3 linked regions of the Caenorhabditis elegans genome follow. The protein of the gene in region 1 interacts with the protein of each later gene in a pairwise test. Each region holds a gene or a part of one and is shown in the gene's direction. Other genes may lie near its edges.

Evidence for each region.
Region 2: the proteins of lir-3 (region 1) and hel-1 interact in a two-hybrid assay, tested with the Caenorhabditis elegans proteins (one large-scale study listed by BioGRID).
Region 3: the proteins of lir-3 (region 1) and set-29 interact in a two-hybrid assay, tested with the Caenorhabditis elegans proteins (one large-scale study listed by BioGRID).

What each region holds. Positions count from the first base shown.
Region 1 is NC_003280.10:11,182,106-11,186,686, reverse strand, and holds lir-3 (Transcription factor lir-3), read left to right. Parts: upstream 1-1,879; 5' UTR 1,880-1,880; coding exon 1,881-1,949; intron 1,950-1,999; coding exon 2,000-2,172; intron 2,173-2,617; coding exon 2,618-2,770; intron 2,771-2,833; coding exon 2,834-2,942; intron 2,943-2,990; coding exon 2,991-3,256; intron 3,257-3,443; coding exon 3,444-3,528; 3' UTR 3,529-3,612; downstream 3,613-4,581. Other genes in the region: sfxn-1.2 (Sidoreflexin), read right to left, coding at 1-66, 559-634; bigr-1 (HAD family phosphatase), read right to left, coding at 3,657-3,926, 3,974-4,060, 4,109-4,183. UniProt on the Caenorhabditis elegans protein: Positively regulates the RNA polymerase III-associated transcription of small non-coding RNAs.
Region 2 is NC_003280.10:8,326,352-8,331,526, reverse strand, and holds hel-1 (Spliceosome RNA helicase DDX39B homolog), read left to right. Parts: upstream 1-2,656; 5' UTR 2,657-2,657; coding exon 2,658-2,984; intron 2,985-3,027; coding exon 3,028-3,304; intron 3,305-3,350; coding exon 3,351-3,469; exon of another isoform or gene 3,470-3,594; intron 3,595-3,640; exon of another isoform or gene 3,641-3,831; coding exon 3,832-4,366; intron 4,367-4,412; coding exon 4,413-4,432; 3' UTR 4,433-4,675; downstream 4,676-5,175. Other genes in the region: C26D10.4 (GHMP kinase N-terminal domain-containing protein), read right to left, coding at 240-402, 449-919, 1,450-1,649, 1,696-1,759; C26D10.3 (Pyridine nucleotide-disulfide oxidoreductase domain-containing protein 1), read right to left, coding at 1,937-2,123, 2,171-2,235, 4,695-4,829, 4,878-5,087, 5,135-5,175.
Region 3 is NC_003279.8:1,403,698-1,412,429, forward strand, and holds the start of set-29 (SET domain-containing protein), read left to right. Parts: upstream 1-2,237; 5' UTR 2,238-2,246; coding exon 2,247-2,675; intron 2,676-4,759; coding exon 4,760-4,939; intron 4,940-7,743; coding exon 7,744-7,918; intron 7,919-8,732.

The sequences.
Region 1 (4,581 bases):
CTTGTCGTGCAACTGATGAGGTCAGGGTGAGTGGGTTAGTAAGAGTGAAAAAGTGACGGACACGACCTGGAAAAGAGGATTTCTTTACAATGTAGGTTAATAAATGTTAAAAATCAGAAGTAAATCAGATTGTAATTTATTGATTTCTGGCGTTTCCAAATTTTCGGGTCTCTCAAGTTCAAAGCGGCACAAGAAAAGTTTGAGCCAAAGTGTTCCAAGAGTTTGATCAAACTTGGGACAAAATCTGGCGCAGCCTAAATCCAGGTCTTGTCAAAATCTTGCCCAACTTTCGCCGAAGTTTTGCCAATTTCTCATCAACGTTAATAGTTTTGGGCAAAACGTGGGCAAGAAGCTAGAGCCAAATACCGAATAATTCGATGAAAAAGGTGTCCAATGTGCTATTATTGAAAAAGGTGTCCAATGTGCTTCGCGATGTGCTATTATTCACTTTGAAAAATGCAAGAATTTTGCAATGCACCGCACATTAACTTTCAGATACATCCCATCTAAACAGTCTTAACTTCGCTGGCACTTTTTGGCAACCTGAAGAATTCTTACCGTAATATGTCCTTTGACTCCATTGTGGCTTCGATATATCTGGACGAGTCTTTAGATTGCTGACAAGCTCACTCATTTTAATCAAATGAGAACTAATAAATGAATTGTTCTGTGGTTTTGTAACGTTTTTTTTGTTTCTTTATTTTTAATTTGTTAGACCGTGATTTACGTGGCACTTATGTATATATTTTTAATTGTCTCATATCCAAATTTTATAATTTTTCAGAATTGAAAAACTGAAATATAAACTTCTGAAAAAAAAGAGTTCCTCTCTCCCGTTTTCAAACGGAAATTGTGAGTCAGAAGTTTTGGTTTCAGAGAAGGCAAGAGGAAAAAGTACAGCAGCGAATTGTTTAGGAAACTCTTTGATTATTCATCATTTGTCAGAAAAATTGTGAAAATAGAAGGAAGAGAAAATGAACTGAAAGTTTCAAAAATTTTCTGGCTTCATCCGGCAGTTTTTTTTTGCAGCAAACATTTTTTGAATTTTTTTGAAATAATTTTTAAAGCATTTTTAGTGCTCTAGATTATTTTAGGATAAAAACCCATCAACTTAAATATAAAAAAATAGTCTTTTTATCCGAAAATAATTTTTGTTTTACTTGAAACAACTGCAAAAGTGCCGAGCAATACGAAAATTGCTTGAAAAACCAGAGAATTTATCGGAAAAAATTTCCGGCAATTTTTGTGCACTTTTTCAGATGTTCCAAGTCAAATAAAAATAATTTTCAAATAAAGCAAAATAAATTTTCCGAAATACGGTAGCTTTAAAAAGTTACAATATTCTTAAAGTCCCCACCCAAACCTTCTTTATTAAAATCTCCCCATCACCTTTTTGCAATATATTGCAAAATCCAACAGCTATGCATTTGAATCCAAACAGCAGTCTCCGCAGCCTCTCCCTCTCTTTCCTTCCCCCTTCCACCACCCAATTCCCCAGTCCGTCAGTACACGTATGTCTGTACACTCTTCATCTTGCACACTCTCTCAGTCCCCACTCACTGCCTGCATCGCAGCACTGCTTGTCCTTCGATCGATGACCGCCTGCTGACTGCTGTTGACTGCCCGCATGCTGCTGCCTGCTGGCTGAATTATCTCATCACTATAGGCCACTTATGCTCAGTTTTTTTTCTTTGTTTCTAGAAATTCATTACCGTAGGATTTTAGTAGGAAATTATTTGAGTTTTTTTCAACCTGATTTTTCGCCGAGAATTTAGGAAAATTTGGAAAGAAAGGGAGGATTTTTTTCAAGGTTTTTTTCCTCATATTTCTCCGAATTCTTCCGTGACTTTTAAGATATTGTAACTAATTTTTTTCTCAGAATGGATCCAAAATTTCTCGTAGTAGAAATAGACTCAAAGGAGCGAGCACTTCAGTTGGTTCAAGTTATGGTGGGTTTTTCTAGTGAAAAATAACTAAATTGGAAAAAAAAAAGTTTCAGCTAGAAAATGGATTTGCTCGATTCATGCTGTTGGACGATCTTTCGCGACACCCGACTCTCGACAGAATCCAGAGAGAAGAGCCAAGAATTTCAAGAGATGAACTCCGTGAAACAGCTTCATCTCCTGTCACATTTGAAACTCGACATTCTCCATATCCAGTGCATGAGCAAAAGTAGGTGGTTTTTTTTTAAATATTTTTTATTTAAAAAATGGAAATTTTTGAGATCAAACCTTATATTTCACAAACAATTCAGAAAAATTCACTCTTAAAAGAACCAATAAAAAAGGTTTTATTTTGTCGAAAACTTCTCTTTCGCCAAAAAAAAAATTTCCGAAGCCTCACCTTCTGCCTTTATTTGCTGTATATTCTCTACTAGTCTTTCAAAAAGTTATATCTCGGTTCATTTCAAAGATATCAATAAATAATCAACAGCAAATCTATAGAAAAACATTTAACAAATATTTTGTCAGTCGAAAGTTTTTCAATAAAACAAACGACAACTGAGTTATCAAATTTATCAGTTGGTTGAAATACTATTAGAGGAAATACGGTATAATACTTAGCAGAAAAGTTTTTACAAATAAAATTTGCGACTTTAAGTTCATCAAATTTTCAGAGTTCTATTTCCATCGTTTTCACAAGTTTCGAATTCAATGGTGACATCTACGGGCATCCGACAGGAAGCTTCAAGTGTTGGTGTTGGACCGATTGAAGACGACGATATTGTTGAGGAGGAGGAGGAAGAGGATATTCGACTTACTAGCAAGCCGTGAGTTTATCTACTTTAATAAATCTACTGGACATTCGAGAAATTAAAAAAAAAAGATTTCAGGTGTGTCAAACGCCGTTATGATCATCACGCCGAGGAACAGGAGTATAGAGATCAACTGATGAGCTTGTTGAGTGGAGAACCGGAAATTGTGCCTATAGGTGTCAACTCGGTTAGTAGTTTTTTCTATATTCCAAGACTCACAATTCCTCATTTTCAGAACGACGAACCATCTGGCTCCAACTCGGATTCTGCCGCGAAAAAGGCCAAATCCGTCGGCGACTACCATGAATGTCAGCTCTGTGGAGTTCGAGTCAAAACGCCTAGAAGCGGTCGATGGAATCTCCAAATGCATGTGATTGCTCTTCATTGTGTTGGAAGACAATATAAATGCAAGCAGTGTGATTACTTGGACTATCGAAAATCAACGATGAGAAAACATACGGTTTCGCAGCATGGAAGTGACATTCCGCCGCATAATATTACGTGAGTTTTGGAGTTTTTTCAAATCAAAATTTCAAATATAAATATTTTAAAACAATACCTAAACATCCCCATGCTGCTAGAATCAATACAATTTATTTTAAAAAGGCTTTGAAATATTAATTGAAATGAAATTATTTGTGAACAATTTTTGTAGAAGTTTCAAATTTAAAAAATCATATTTTTCCAGGGACAACATAATGAAAGCTGAATGGCATGCTGCAATGATAAAATGTTTCCCTGAATTTGCTCACAGAACTGGGTTCTTAAACTGATTCATCGCTCTCATCGCCAAATTATTTATTTTTTGATACCATTCCAATTTATTATATTCCTGATAAAAAGTGACAATTTGATAATTATATTGCAGTTATAAAGCGGTTAGATATACATACATCACCAATTAGATCAGCTTAACCTTAGTGAAACCCTCAAGTTCATGAATCGCCTTTTCAATGTCTTCTACTAAAATTGTGTTCCATCCGAGCTTTTCTGCAGCTTCAATGTTTTCATGGAGGTCATCCAAAAACACAATTTCCTCTGGTTTGACTCCGAGTCTTTTCTCAACTAAATGATAAAATCGAGCGTCTGGTTTCATGAGATGCTCCAAACAAGATTCTACAACTTCATCGAAATGTGTCAAATCGCATGGAAGTCTGGTTTCCTTGTGCTCCTGAAAATCATTGAACAAATTTTCAATATTGATAGGAACTCGATTACCTTATCTAAGAACATGTTGTTTGTCAGCATGGCGGTTTTGAAGCCCTTCTTGTGAAGAATTTCCACGGTTTTTTGCATATTTTTGTGCTGAAAATGCTAGGTTCAGGGCAAAGTTTAGAAACATTTTAAGCTTACAATTTTAACATTTTCTCCACGAAGGCACTCGGTGAATGGTTTTATCACAACGTTGTCAGTCAGCTTGTTTCCATACTGAAAGTTTAAAAAGTAAGAAAAAATTTCAAAAACTTTGTTTTGAAAATAAGGAAATTCATGAAACTTGCAATAAATTTGAATTTCAAACTTCCTAAAAATGTAGGAACGATGTTTCAGCTGTATCTTTCTGAAATTTTTTCCAAAAAATAAAGTCGATGGAACGTTCAAGTTTTTTTATAAAAATTGATGGATGTTCAGATTTAAATTCTCCAAAAAATCTTGGGGGAAATTTACATGTATTTTTCGAAAAAAATTGAAATTTCAAAACTTCAGAAAAATTTGGCGCATGTACCAATATGCATATTTTTTTGTGAAAAAATTTAGAACTTGACTCACAAGAAAATTTGCGAGAATTTCAAAATTCAATATTTCAACAGAAATTTTTTTCCCGAGAT
Region 2 (5,175 bases), 2.9 Mb from region 1:
CTCAGTGGAGGAACAGATGTCTTCCGCTTTTTTTCAATCAACCCGATTGCGGAATCTCGTGATTTTTAATTCAAAATACGATGTCTGGTCTCGATACGACCGAAACTAAAGAGCTACCGTTCATAAGTTTCGTAATCTTCCCACAATATTGTTATAGTTTTGCCCAAATGTTCAAAATAAATTAATAGCACAAAAAATATCTCAAATTTGTTTAAAGGCACGGCAATTCAGTAACTTACCGACTCTTCCTTTAAAATCTTGAAATTTCTTGAAAATTTGTTTTCTTGCATTTGTCCGATCTTGCACATTCTCAGATACTTTTTCATGAATTCCCAACTTATTTTTGATAAATTCTTCTTCACTAGTACACGTTGCTAGAAAAAAATCAAAGAAAAGTGATAACTGAAACATGGCTATCAAAAGTGAAAGATGGTAAATCAAGACATACTTTCAATGGTGTAACGTTCGAATCTACTCCAAGATAAGTGGTTGCTGCTACTGGAAATTCCGAATAAAGTGACAAGAATAATGTAGCAGCATTCAATGGAAGATATATGAAGCCGAGAATTACATGACTGGATTCTTCAAAATGTTTCCCAGCGTATTCTCCATCAAATTCCATTCCAGACAATTTGTTATCTTTATCAACAATATACCATCCATGATGATCAAGCTGATTCTTCTTCTCCAGAAATGTAAACCCAGTTATAGAATCTTGCGGAAGATCAAACATGTTCAATTCCTTTTCGAGCTTCCATGACGCATCGCTACCAACAATCCATACCCCTGTATGCGTTGAATTTGCAGCAATTTTTGAACAGTTTTTGACAGAATTTGACAAATAAGTGTCAAATACATATCCATTACCACCCTTTATTGTTGAATTGTCTTTTGCGTTTTGAAGTGTTCGGGGATCGCTCTGAAAACTGCCAACAACAGTAACCCCTGCGACATATCTATAGATAGTTGAGTGTTCATATAATCCCAGTTTAAATAAACCTAAAGTAACGAAAAAGCATAATAAAACATTCTAAAAAAGTTTTTTCAGACAACGTTTTGACAAATTCCCAAATTTTCAAATGTATTGGCTTTTTGAATAATCTTGAGCATTGATGCAGGTTTTAACCCAGAAGTGTTCTAAAACATGTTTAAAACATACAGTTGAAACGCAATAAATATTAAGCTCGTAGAAATTATTATTTTTTGGTCGGCATCCAAAATTGTGAATGGCGAAAACTCTATTATCATCACTTTTTGACTAAAAATGGAAAATTTCAACACGTTTTAAGATGTTTTACTACACGCCACCGTAAATATTGAAACTTGAGACAAAAAATGTATTTATGCCTATTTCATTGTACAATTATAATTACAGCTATTTCTCAATGTCCAAGAAATTAATTATAATTTTTATTCTACTATTTTATCGAAATAATAAAAAGTACTCACCACCAAAACAATTAACACGTTCACGTCTTGCAAGACGGATTCTGTGAGTACTGTCAAATTATTCCTGTAGCATAGCCTTTCAGCAGTTCTTATTAATGCATTCAATGCACTTCCACAAGATCCTATATCTTCTGATGCATCATTTACTACAAGTATTTCTTCGCAATTCGGAAAGGCGATATTTTGGAAATGTCGTATATCTATAATACGAGTGTGTCTGTAGTTTATATCGTATGAAAATTGAACCTGAATCAATACTACTTGGCTCTATATTGAACCCTAATGAAAATGTGACAATGTCCCAACGCATTTGATAGAGAAAAAGAGTGTAAGAGAGCAAGGAGAATACGACTAGCACTGGTGTATTCCACGTGGTAAAGAGATGGAGACGCAGAAAATGTATAGATGTGAAAAAGATAGTAGAAAACTGGTTTAATATTATTCAAACACAACAAAATGTATAAACATCATACAGTATAATAATAATCTAATCAAAATAATCATCGAGATCAACTCCCGGCTCCAAGAATGTTTCTGAAATGCCTTCTAGATCTGTTTTGTTGAGAATCAGATTTTCGAGTGTCTCCTCCATGTCAGTTTCGCCAATTAGAAGGGCACCGACAATCTTATTTTTGACGACTACACATCGAACGAGTTGATCGTTATCGGCGTCTCTGAATATTAGAGCATGTTTCATTGTAATCTAAAAAGTGTACAGTACCTCAATACAATCTTCCATTCTCCTTCCACCTGTCTCTCTGGTTTGTAGTCTCCAAGAAACACCACCTGAAAGAACATTTGTTTTTCTATGATTCTTTGCACACATCTATCTTTCGGATCGTTTCGCTACTAATATTGTCTTGTGCACTGGACAGCTGTTTACAGCCACATTCCCCCTCTCGTATTTGAACACCCGCCCATTGCTAATTACTTCGCTGCGAGACCATACGAAGCGACGCGTTGCGTGTGCGTCGCGCGTCGAAAATATTCGAATGGGTATCGTTTCGCGGTTTATTCTTCATGAGGAGCAACCGCTCTGCATTTTCCTGTTTTGATCTGTTTTTGTGAGGTTATTTACTAAATTTCTTTTGATTGTTCTATTTGTGACTTTCTCTAATAGGTTAAACACTATTCTCTATTTTCTTCGTGAAATTAGGATTAATCTCAAGCCCCTTTTTATGAAGACCTTTATTTTTTTTTGTTTCAGAATGGAAGAGGAACAACTTCTTGACTACGAAGAGGAGCAGGAGGAGATCCAAGACAAGCAGCCAGAAGTTGGCGGAGGCGATGCCAGAAAAACTAAAGGAACGTATGCTTCTATTCATTCTTCCGGATTTCGTGACTTCCTCTTGAAGCCAGAAATTCTTCGTGCCATCGGAGACTGCGGTTTCGAACATCCATCGGAAGTACAACATGAGTGCATTCCTCAAGCCATTCTTGGAATGGACGTTGTCTGCCAAGCGAAGTCCGGTATGGGTAAAACCGCTGTTTTTGTAATCACCACTCTTCAACAACTGGAGCCAGTGGATGGCGAGGTAAACAGTAATACATCAAATTTCAATAAATCATTGTTTTCAGGTATCTGTTGTTTGCATGTGCCACACTCGCGAGTTGGCATTCCAAATTTCCAAGGAGTATGAGAGATTTAGCAAATATCTCCCAGGAGTCAAGGTAGCTGTCTTTTTCGGTGGAATGGCCATCAAGAAAGATGAGGAACGCCTTGCCAATGACTGTCCACACATTGTTGTTGGAACTCCAGGAAGAATGTTGGCTCTGGCTCGTTCTGGCAAGCTGAAGCTTGACAAAGTCAAGTACTTCGTCCTGGACGAGTGCGACAAGATGATCGGAGATGCTGGTAAGAAATACTTGTAAATATAGGAATCATTATTGAACTTTTTCAGATATGCGTCGGGATGTTCAAGAAATCGTCAAGATGACTCCACAACAGAAGCAAGTGATGATGTTCTCCGCCACATTGCCAAAGGAGCTTCGCACTGTTTGCAAGCGATTCATGCAAGACGTACGCTTTATCTCTGATCCGGAACCTACGGAACCGCTGTTCACTTTTTTGAAACAAAAAACATGTATCAAACCAAAATGCTAGTCATGTGTGTTCCGTGATGCGAAAGAGATGGCCAGAACTTGGTTGGTCGTTAATTCCGAAGTCGCTTTTTGATTTCTCGGATTTCAGATCTCATCTTGTTAAGCCTCTCGCCACGCAGAAGCCATCGTCCTCGGGGGAGGTAGCTGGCTCGCCTCAGCGAAGCTGATTGCTAATAGGTCGAAAGACTTGTCGGGAACACGTGACATGTACTGCAAAACACGTTCCAGCCCCCGATTCATCACCGTGCTGCCGTTCTAGACCTTAAAACATTTTTTCAGCCAATGGAAGTCTACGTCGACGACGAAGCCAAGCTCACTCTGCACGGACTTCAGCAACATTACGTCAAACTGAAGGAAGCCGAGAAGAACCGTCGTTTGCTGAATCTTCTCGATGCACTCGAGTTCAACCAAGTCGTCATTTTCGTCAAGGCCGTAAAACGTTGCGAAGCTCTCCACCAGCTCCTCACAGAACAAAATTTCCCATCAATTGCCATTCATCGTCAAATGGCTCAAGAAGAGCGACTTTCAAGATACCAAGCATTCAAAGACTTCCAAAAGAGAATCTTGGTGGCCACCGATTTGTTTGGACGTGGAATGGATATCGAAAGAGTCAACATCGTGTTCAACTACGACATGCCAGAAGATTCCGACTCGTATCTTCACAGAGTTGCACGTGCTGGTCGTTTTGGAACCAAGGGTTTGGCCATCACTTTCGTTTCTGATGAGAATGACGCCAAGACCTTGAACAGCGTTCAAGACCGCTTCGATATCAGCATCACTGAGCTCCCAGAAAAGATCGATGTCTCTACCTACAGTGAGTTTATATATACCAACGCCCATTCAAAAATTCTTATTTTCAGTCGAAGGCCGAACCAATTGATTCCATGTACCCTCCTATGCATTCAACTAAATATGAGTTCCACCTTCGTTTTACCCGGCATTGTGCTGATGGAGTAAAATGCCTATTGTTTCCCCTAAATTATCGACCTCTGTTTCTTGTGGTCTCATTTACCAATTTTCGTTATCGTTAACAGTTTCCAACTACACGCAAAAAAATTTGACTGTATTATTTATTTTTCTTTTTTCATGAGTGTTTGGAAATAAAATTCGACAATTACCATGCAAATTGTTATTTATCTCACCTTTAACCCGAAAAAAGTCGTACAATGCGAGAACAGTTCGAAATACATATTCTGCATACGAGCCTCTTCGACGCCTGCCACCATCGCTCTTCCACACACTTCTCCTTGCTGACGTGCTTGTGTCCACAATTGTCTCTTAAAATATTTCAACTTTATTTAACACTCAATCTATGGTTATAAAACTTGTTGCCAAAGAGTTGATGGTTCTGTGGTAGTCAGTGCACAAACATCTCCACATGCAAAAACATTAGGAAGTGAGGTTTCGCAAGCGTCGTTGACTTTAATTCCACTATTTTCAGTGATTTGGAGCATTTTATTCATAGCCCAGACTTCTGAGTTGGCAGTTACACCTCCTGCCCAAATAAAAATATCTGGATTGAGCTGGTTATCTGCCTTAATAAAATAACTAGGCTTAATGGTACGATAACTTAAAATGATACCATCTTTTCTTTATCCATGTAATGTACCGACAAATTTTGGG
Region 3 (8,732 bases), on another chromosome or scaffold:
ATGTCTGATAGAGCGTATTTACTTACATTAATTTTTACAAAATTTTAGTATATATTTTTGATTTTTCAAAAAAATATTTTCAAACATCGAACATTTTTCTAGAAATTTTATTTTCTTGAAAATCCGAGAAAAAAATTTTTTTTTTGCAAATTTTCTAAATTTTTCGAAAAAAACCCCCGAAAATCAAACAGACATTTTTCTGAAAAATAGAGCTGAAATCGGAAAATCGGGGTAGTTGAAATCTACGGGGTTCGGAATTCCATTGAGCACGTGGTGCCAGGTTGTCTCATCACGGTTTGATCTACAAAAAATGCGGGAATTTTTTGCCCAAAAAAATGTGACGTCAGCTCGTTCTTAATCATGAGAAATCAGTTAAAAACTCTGCGTCTCCTCTTCTCCCGCATTTTTGGTAGATCAACGTAGATCAAGCCAAAATGAGACAAAGTGACAGAATTTCTTATATTTTTTTCCACATTTTCAATATTTTCGGAAAATAAAAATTTTAGGAAAAATAAAATTCTTGAATTTTGAAATTTCGGCGTCAAAATTAGTACTTTTGCAGTTGAAAGTTTGCCTAAATAGATATTTTAAAAAATATTTGGAATTACAAACAAAAAAATCATTATTCTCACATTTTTACAGATATTTTTTCCCAAATTTCTAACCAAAATTTCAAATCTAAAATTTTCGTAAATTTCTAAAAAAAAATTTGCAGGCGTCAAAATCTAGTTTTTAGAAAAAAAATTTTTTTTTTTGGATTTTTTTCAGAAAAAAAGCTTTAAAAAAATTTTTTTGAAACACGCACTTTTTGTCGATTTTTCCCAATTTTTTCTCTCTTTCTATGCAATTTTTATTATCAACTACACTTTTTTTCTGTTGTTGTAATATTTGTATTATTATATACTCACCTGGTGCCAGGGGCTGTCCCATTACGGTTTGATCTACAAAAAATGCGGGAATTTTTCGCCCAAAAAAATGTGACGTCAACCACACGTTCTTAGCCATGCGAAATTTAAACAGTTCTCTGAATAATAAAAAAAATTGATTTTACAAAAAAGACCAAAATTCTTAAGATAACAAAACTTTTTGGGTCTCGAGGCGAAAATGTGCGACAGAGCGTACTTGCATTAATTTTTACAAAGTAGCATTTTTTGGAATAACATTTTTTAATTTCCAAATAAACATTTATGTAAGTACGCTCTATCGGACATTTTTCTAAAAAGTTCATTTTCTTGAAAAACAGAGAAAAATTGGATTTTTTGCAATTTTTCTGAATTTTTCGAAAAAAAAACCCCGAAAATCAGACAGACTTTCGGTTTGACGGTTTAATCTACAAAAAATGCGGGATTTTTTTGCCCAAAAAAATGTGACGTCAACCACACGTTCTTAACCATACGAAATCAGATGAGAACTCTGCGTCTCCTCTTTTCCCGCATTTTTTGTAGATCTACGTAGATCAAGCCGAAATGGGGCACTCTGACACCATGTGTATCCCCCTTCTTAAAATTTTACATTCCATTCCACTTTTTCTCTCTTGGATTTTCTGTACGACGTGTATGAACTATCAAAAAAAAACGGTTACCTAGCAATTTTTTGTCATTTTTTATATATACAATTTTTTTGTTAATAAAAATTTTTTGTAATTTTTTGCCGAAATTTCCATAATTTTTGATTTGAAAATCAACTTTCAGCTATCTTTTTTTCATTGATTTTTTGAAATTTTCAAATCCAAACAGTGCAATTGCGCTCCATTGATAAGCATCACGATGTCCTGTAGTCTGCGTGGACAAGACAAAATAGAATTTTTTTTTTTCAAAAAACATTTTGGCGGGCAATTTGAATTTTCCAAAAATTATGAGCGGGAAATTCAAATTTTCTCCGAAAACATTCGGAAATTTTAATTTTTTCAAAAAAATATTTTTTATTTTCCAACCATTTTTTTCATGGAATTCTAGCTTCCCTCATATATTGAAACGGAAGAGTTTTTGCCGAACTAGGCCATTTTGGCTCAGTAGATTTACGGCGCGTCGCGTGGCTCGATTTTAGTTGTAAAACTAAATGAACTTGTCCGTGTGGAGTACACGACTTTCCCGTCCGGCAGGCGATTGTCAATGGAGCGCGAAACAATTCAAACTCCTGCAAAAATGTCCATGTGGAGTACACGAGTACACGGTGTGAATTATCAATGGAGCGCGTTTACCCACGCCTTGAAAACGAAATTTTTTTAAACATTTCAGCCCTAAAAAATGAACGAATTCATTTCCTGGTGCAAAGGCCGTGGCTATCAATTCGATGGCCTAGAAATCACATGTCCACCACCCGGAAATTGCGGGAACGGAATCTACGCGACAACAGGATTCCGTACTGGAAAAGCGTTTATAACTCTTCCAGAGACTGATATGATCAACGCGGCACTTGTCGTAGATCTCCCGGTTTATCGCAAAAAATTGGCAAAAATCGGCGGAGAAAAACTGAAGCCAATGGAGATTTTGACAATGTTTTTCGCGTTTGAAGACACGGAACACTCCGCCTGGTCACCTTATTTAAAAGTTTTACCAAAGGAATTTAATACGCCAGCTTTTAAGGGAATTGACTATGATGTGAATACTCTTCCGTTGTCTATTCGAAAATATTGGATTGATCAGAAAAAGGAAATTTCCGAGATTTCGGAAAAGGTAGTGAAAAGTGTCACGAAAAATCCAATTTTTCTCCGATTTTCGGGGGTTTTTCTTCAAAAAAGTTCCAAAAAATTCAGAAAAATTGCAAAAAATTTCAATTTTTCTCCGATTTTCTGGTTTTTTACCCAAAAAAGAGCCAAAAAATTCAGAAAAATTGCAAAAAATTCTAATTTTTTTCGGATTTTCTGGGTTTTTTCTTTAAAAAAAAAAGCCAAAATTTCAAATTTTCTCTGATCACGTGGTGCCAGAGTGTCTTATTTCGGCTTGATTTACGTTGATCTACAAAAAATGCGGGAAAAGAGACGCAGAGTTTTTAACTGATTTCTCATGGTTAAGAACGTGCTGACGTCACATTTTTCTGGGCGAAAAATTCCCGCATTTTTTGTAGATCAAACCGTGATGGGACAGTCTGTCTGATTTTCGGGGTTTTTTTTTCGAAAAATTCAGAAAATTTGCAAAAAAAAATTTTAATTTTGTAAAAATTAATGTAAATACGCTCTATCAGACATTTTCCGGGGCTTAAAGTGATTTTTTGGTTTCAGGAGTGCGATAGAGAGCATTTGCAATAATTTTCGGGAGAAAAGTTAGCGAAAATCGCTTCAAGACCCGGAAAAATGTTTTTTTTTGTTATTTTCAAAAATTAAATAAAAAATTTGAAAAACTTTTTTTGAATCTTTGCAAAAAATCATTTTTTTTCAAAATTGTTTCTTTTTTTTCAAGATTTCGGAAAAGGTAGTGAGAAGTCAAAAAAAAATCCAATTTTCTCCGATTTTCGGGGTTTTTTTTTGTTGGAAAAAAAAGTGCAAAAAATTTCAAATGTTCTCTGATCACGTGGTGTCAGTGTGTCTTATTACGGCTTGATCTACGTTGATCTACAAAAAATGCGGCAGAGTACTCAACTGATTTCGCATGGTTAAGAACGTGCTGAAGTCGCATTTGTTCGGGAAAAAATTGGGACAGTCTGTCTGATTTTCGGGGGTTTTTTTTCGAAAAATTCAGAAAAATTGCAAAAAATCCAATTTTTCTCTGTTTTTCAAGAAAATGAACTTTTTAGAAAAATGTCCGATAGAGCGTACTTATATAAATGTTTATTTGGAAATTAAAAAAATGTTATTCCAAAAAATGCTACTTTGTAAAAATTAATGCAAGTACGCTCTGTCGCACATTTTCGCCTCGAGACCCAAAAGGTTTTGTTATCTCAAAAATTTTGGTATTTTTTGAATAAAAACCTCGTTTTATAATATTTCTTCGAGATTTTCATCAATTTTCGGGTTTTATTTGAAAAAAAAACGTTTTGAAATTATAAAAATTATCACGAAAATAAAACAAAATTCTGAGAATGCGTATTGCACAACATATTTGACGCGCTAAATATCTCGTAGCGAAAACTACAGTAATTTTTTTAAATGACTACTGTAGCGCTTGTGGCGATTTACGGGATCTCATTCTTCGAAAAAAAGAAAATGGAGATCCCGTAAATCGACACAAGAGCTACAGTATTAATTGAATGGATTACTGTAGTTTTCGCTACGAGATATTTTGCGCGTCAAATATGTTGTGCAATACGCATTTTCAGAATTTTGTGTTCCCGTAATAAAGTTAAAATCTATACGATTTTTTAAATTCAATGTAATCTTTTTTTTAAAGAAAGTGTAGCCAAAATTCGAAACATTGATGAGCAATTACGCTCTGTCGCACACTTTTTTTTTCAGAAAATTGTCTCGAGCCACGTGGGGTGCCAGGGGCTGTCCCATTACGGTTTGATCTACAAAAAATGCGGGAATTTTTGTGTCCAACAAAATGTAACGTCAGCTTGAGAATTCTGCGTCGACATTCTCCCGCATTTTTTGTAGATCAGCATAGATCAAGCCGAAATGAGAGACTCTGCTACCACGTGCGTGCCGAGTCCAAAAACAATTATTTGGGTAGAGAGCAAAATTTTTGATAATAAGTTTTTTGTTTTTACAGATTTTTTACAGAATGCCAATTTTGAAGAAAACCCCCAAAATACAGGGAAATTTCAAATTCCCGCCCCCCCCCCCCCCCCCATCATTATCACTAGAGCACACTTGCATTTTCAGCTCCGCCGCCTCTTTCCCGAACTGAGCCACGACAAGATATTATGGGCGTGGCATGTGGTGAATACTCGGTGCATTTTCGTTGAAAATGAAGAGCACGATAATGTGGATAATAGTGATGGAGATACGATTGCAGTTATTCCATATGTTGATATGCTTAATCATGATCCGGAAAAATATCAGGTTCGGGAAAAACTAAGAAAAATTGGAAAAATTTCAGTTTTTTCTGATTTTTTTCGATTTTTCTGGCGAATTTATGTGAAAATTCAGGTTTTTAGGGCATTTTTTGATGGAAATCTGAATATTTCCGCTTTTTCTGATGGATTTATGTGAAAATTCAGGTTTTTAGGGCATTTTTTGAGGGAAATCTGATTTTTTTTCGATTTTCTGGCGAATTTATGTGAAAATTCAGGTTTTTAGGGCATTTTTTGAGGGAAATCTGAATTTTTTCGGTTTTTCGGATGGATTTATGTGAAAATTTTAAGGTTTAGGGTATTTTTACGGGAAAAATGGATTTTTAGCCGTTTTTTGTGGAAAATTCCGATTTTTTGCCGAATTTTTAAGAAAATTTCGGATCAAAAAAGACTTTTCAGGCTTTTAGGAACATTTTTTAAAGGAAATCTGAATATTTCCGCTTTTTCTGATGGATTTATGTGAAAATTCAGGTTTTTAGGGCATTTTTTGATGGAAATCTGAATATTTCCGCTTTTTCTGATGGATTTATGTGAAAATTCAGGTTTTTAGGGCATTTTTTGAGGGAAATCTGATTTTTTTTCGATTTTCTGGCGAATTTATGTGAAAATTCAGGTTTTTAGGGCATTTTTTGAGGGAAATCTGAACTTTTCCGATTTTTCCAACCAATTTCTGTGAAAATGCAGGTTTTCGAGACACATTTTTGAAGGAAATCGTAAAATGTTCGGTTTTTCTGAAGGATTTATGTGAAAAAAAAAATTTTTGAACATGGATCCCTGAGAAAATTTATTTTAAAAAGCTGAAAAATGCGCGAAAATTCTTAATTTTTATTGAAACTTTTATTATTTTTTGATGACATTAATATCAAAATCCGGCAAAAAATAATACATTTTTTGAAAAAAAAAATTCGAAAAATCGCAAAATATTTTTTTGTCGAAAAAAAGTTTTTTTTTTTGAAACGTGGCACTCACGTTGTGTCAGAGTGTCCCATTTCGGCTTGATCTACGTTGATCTACAAAAAATGCGGGAAAATGAGACGCAGAGTTCTCAACTGATTTTGTCACATTTTTTTGGGCAAAAAATACCCGCATTTTTTGTAGATCAAACCGTATTGAGGCAACGTGGCAACACACCTCAGATTTTGAAAAAAATTGAGGATAGCGGGCCCTGCGGGCCCGCCAGTTGTAGGGGGTGTAAGGCGAGTCTCCTTGCCGGTTCAGTTCAAGCTGAGTTTTGATTGATTGAAGTTTGAGGAGGCTTTATATTAGGGGAGACGTACCCATATTTTGTATAAAATCGAGTATTTCTATTCGAATCCCGATTACTCACAAAAAACAAAAAATTTATCACTTGGTAGAATTGAACCAACTACCAAAATTTCTGCAGTCATACGCACTAACCACCCGGCCATGCGGGAGAGAGCTCAAACTGGAAGTAAGGAATGTAAATTTCTGAAGGGAGTCGTCTTTCAATTCCGCTTTCTTCAATTATGACTATTTGGGGAAAGACGTTCGAAAACCGTTTATCACTGATAAGTCAGCGGGAAACCTAATTTTTGAAAGTTTTATTACAGCATTGTACTCATCATAAAATTCCCGAAAGGGAGACGTACAGTTAAGGGCTATATCTTGTACACAGACAGATGTATAGAAAAAAACATGTTTTGGCCTGAAAATAAATAAAAAATAATATCTCTTGGCAGAGCATTGCTAATGCGACGAAACTTCATCTTTCATTAGATAAAATCAAAAACTATGAATAAAAAATATATTCCGCAAAACTTTAGTGGATAAAATGTTCAGGGGACCCAGGAAACCACTCCCCCCAGTACTAAATTTTTGAATTATTTTTTTCTTGAAAAATTTTCCCACTGAACTTTTTACAAATTTTATATGTCTCGATGCGTCTTGATGAGACCTACACGTCAATTTTTAGAAAACTAAGAAAACTTAAAAACTGACCGAGTTATGATTGAAAAAGTAGATTCACGAAAATGGAAAAGTGTGCAAAATTTGGCACTTATTCGTCTTGCTCGGCCGACTCATAGAACTTTTCTCAATTCTGAGTTAAACATCGTGTTTAGCGTATTTTTTTACGTGGGGTAAGCAAAAAAAATATCAAAAAAGATGAAGTAGAACTTGAGATAAAGACGAAAAACTACTTTTTCGGAAAAAAAAATTTTTTTTGGCAAAATGGCATTTTTTTACCTTTTGTTTTATCACAACTTTTTTTCGTTTGCACTTATGAACTCAAACTTTTTTTCAAAAAATCAGTCTCTCTGAGTAGTATCTTGCACATGAATTTGAAATGAAACCGAGCAAAACCCGAATTTTAATTCAATTAAAACATGGTTTTTTGGGGGTAAAAAGAGCAAAAAATTTTTTTTTCAAACTGGGGAAAGCCGCCCTGGGCTCAATTTTGCTCTGAACTTAGTTCCGTTTTCTGCTCCACCGTGGGGCAAAATATTTCTAGTAGGATTTCAAATATTAGAGCATGATGTCGCGCGGCTCTGGAGTTATTAATGAAAACGAAGTGGGACATTTTTTCGCAAGCCAAAAAAAACGCGAAAAAGGGGCGGAGTCGCCACACTCGGCATTTATTAGAGGCTGCTTGGCAGAAAAATCAATTTTTTTTGAAAATTTCTTTCAAAATTTCCAGGTTCCAAGGAATACCGATTTTTCAGGAAACTAACCGAAAAAAAAAACAAAAAGTTTCGAATTTTCAAATACTGCTGAAAAAATAATGTTTTGAAAAACAACACTATAATTTTACAGTAAAAAAAATCCAATTTCCAGGGTCTCGCACTTCATGAAAAGCGAAACGGGCGGTACGTTGTCCAGGCGAAGCGTCAAATTCAAGAAGGCGAACAAATATTCGTGTGTTATGGTGCACATGACAATGCTCGGCTGCTCGTCGAGTACGGCTTCACACTGCCACACAATTTGGGCGCTAAAGTGCTCATTCCGCAAGGTACCGTACTCTTACAGTACCCCGACCATATCCCCCAACTAACCGCAAACCAATATCCCTTCAAAAAACCAAAAGTGATTTTTTTCTAAAACTACAGTAATCCTACAGTACCCCTACAGTACCCCGACAATATCCCCCCGCTTACCCCAAACCATTATCCCTTCAAAAAAAGAAAAGTCATTTTTTTTTCCAAAACTACAGTAATCCTACAGTACCCCAACCATATCCCCCGCTGACCCCAAACCATTATCCCTTCAAAAAACGAAAAGTCAGTTTTGCTAAACTACAGTAATCCTAGAGTTATCCTACCGTAATCCTACAGTACCCCGACAATATCCCCCCCACTGACCCCAAACCAATATCCCTTCAAAAATCGAAAATTCATATTTTTCTTAATCTACAGTAATCCTACAGTGCCCCTACAGTACCCCGACAATATCCCCCCGCTGACCCCAAACCAATATCCCGTCAAAAAACGAAAATTCATATTTTTCTTAATCTACAGTAATCCTACAGTGCCCCTACAATACTACTACAGTACCCCGACCATATCCCCACTAATCCCGAACCAATATCCCTTTAACAGACGAATAGTTATTTTTCCTGAAATACAGTAATCCTATCGTACCTCTACAGTACTACTTCAGTACCCCGACCATTTCCCCCACTAACCTTAAACCAATATCCCGTCAAAAGACGAAAAGTAAATTTTTCTAAAACTACAGTAATCCTACAGTACTCCGACCATATCCCTCCACTAATCTGAAGTTATTATTCCTTCAAAAAACGAAAATTCATGTTTTTCTAAACTACA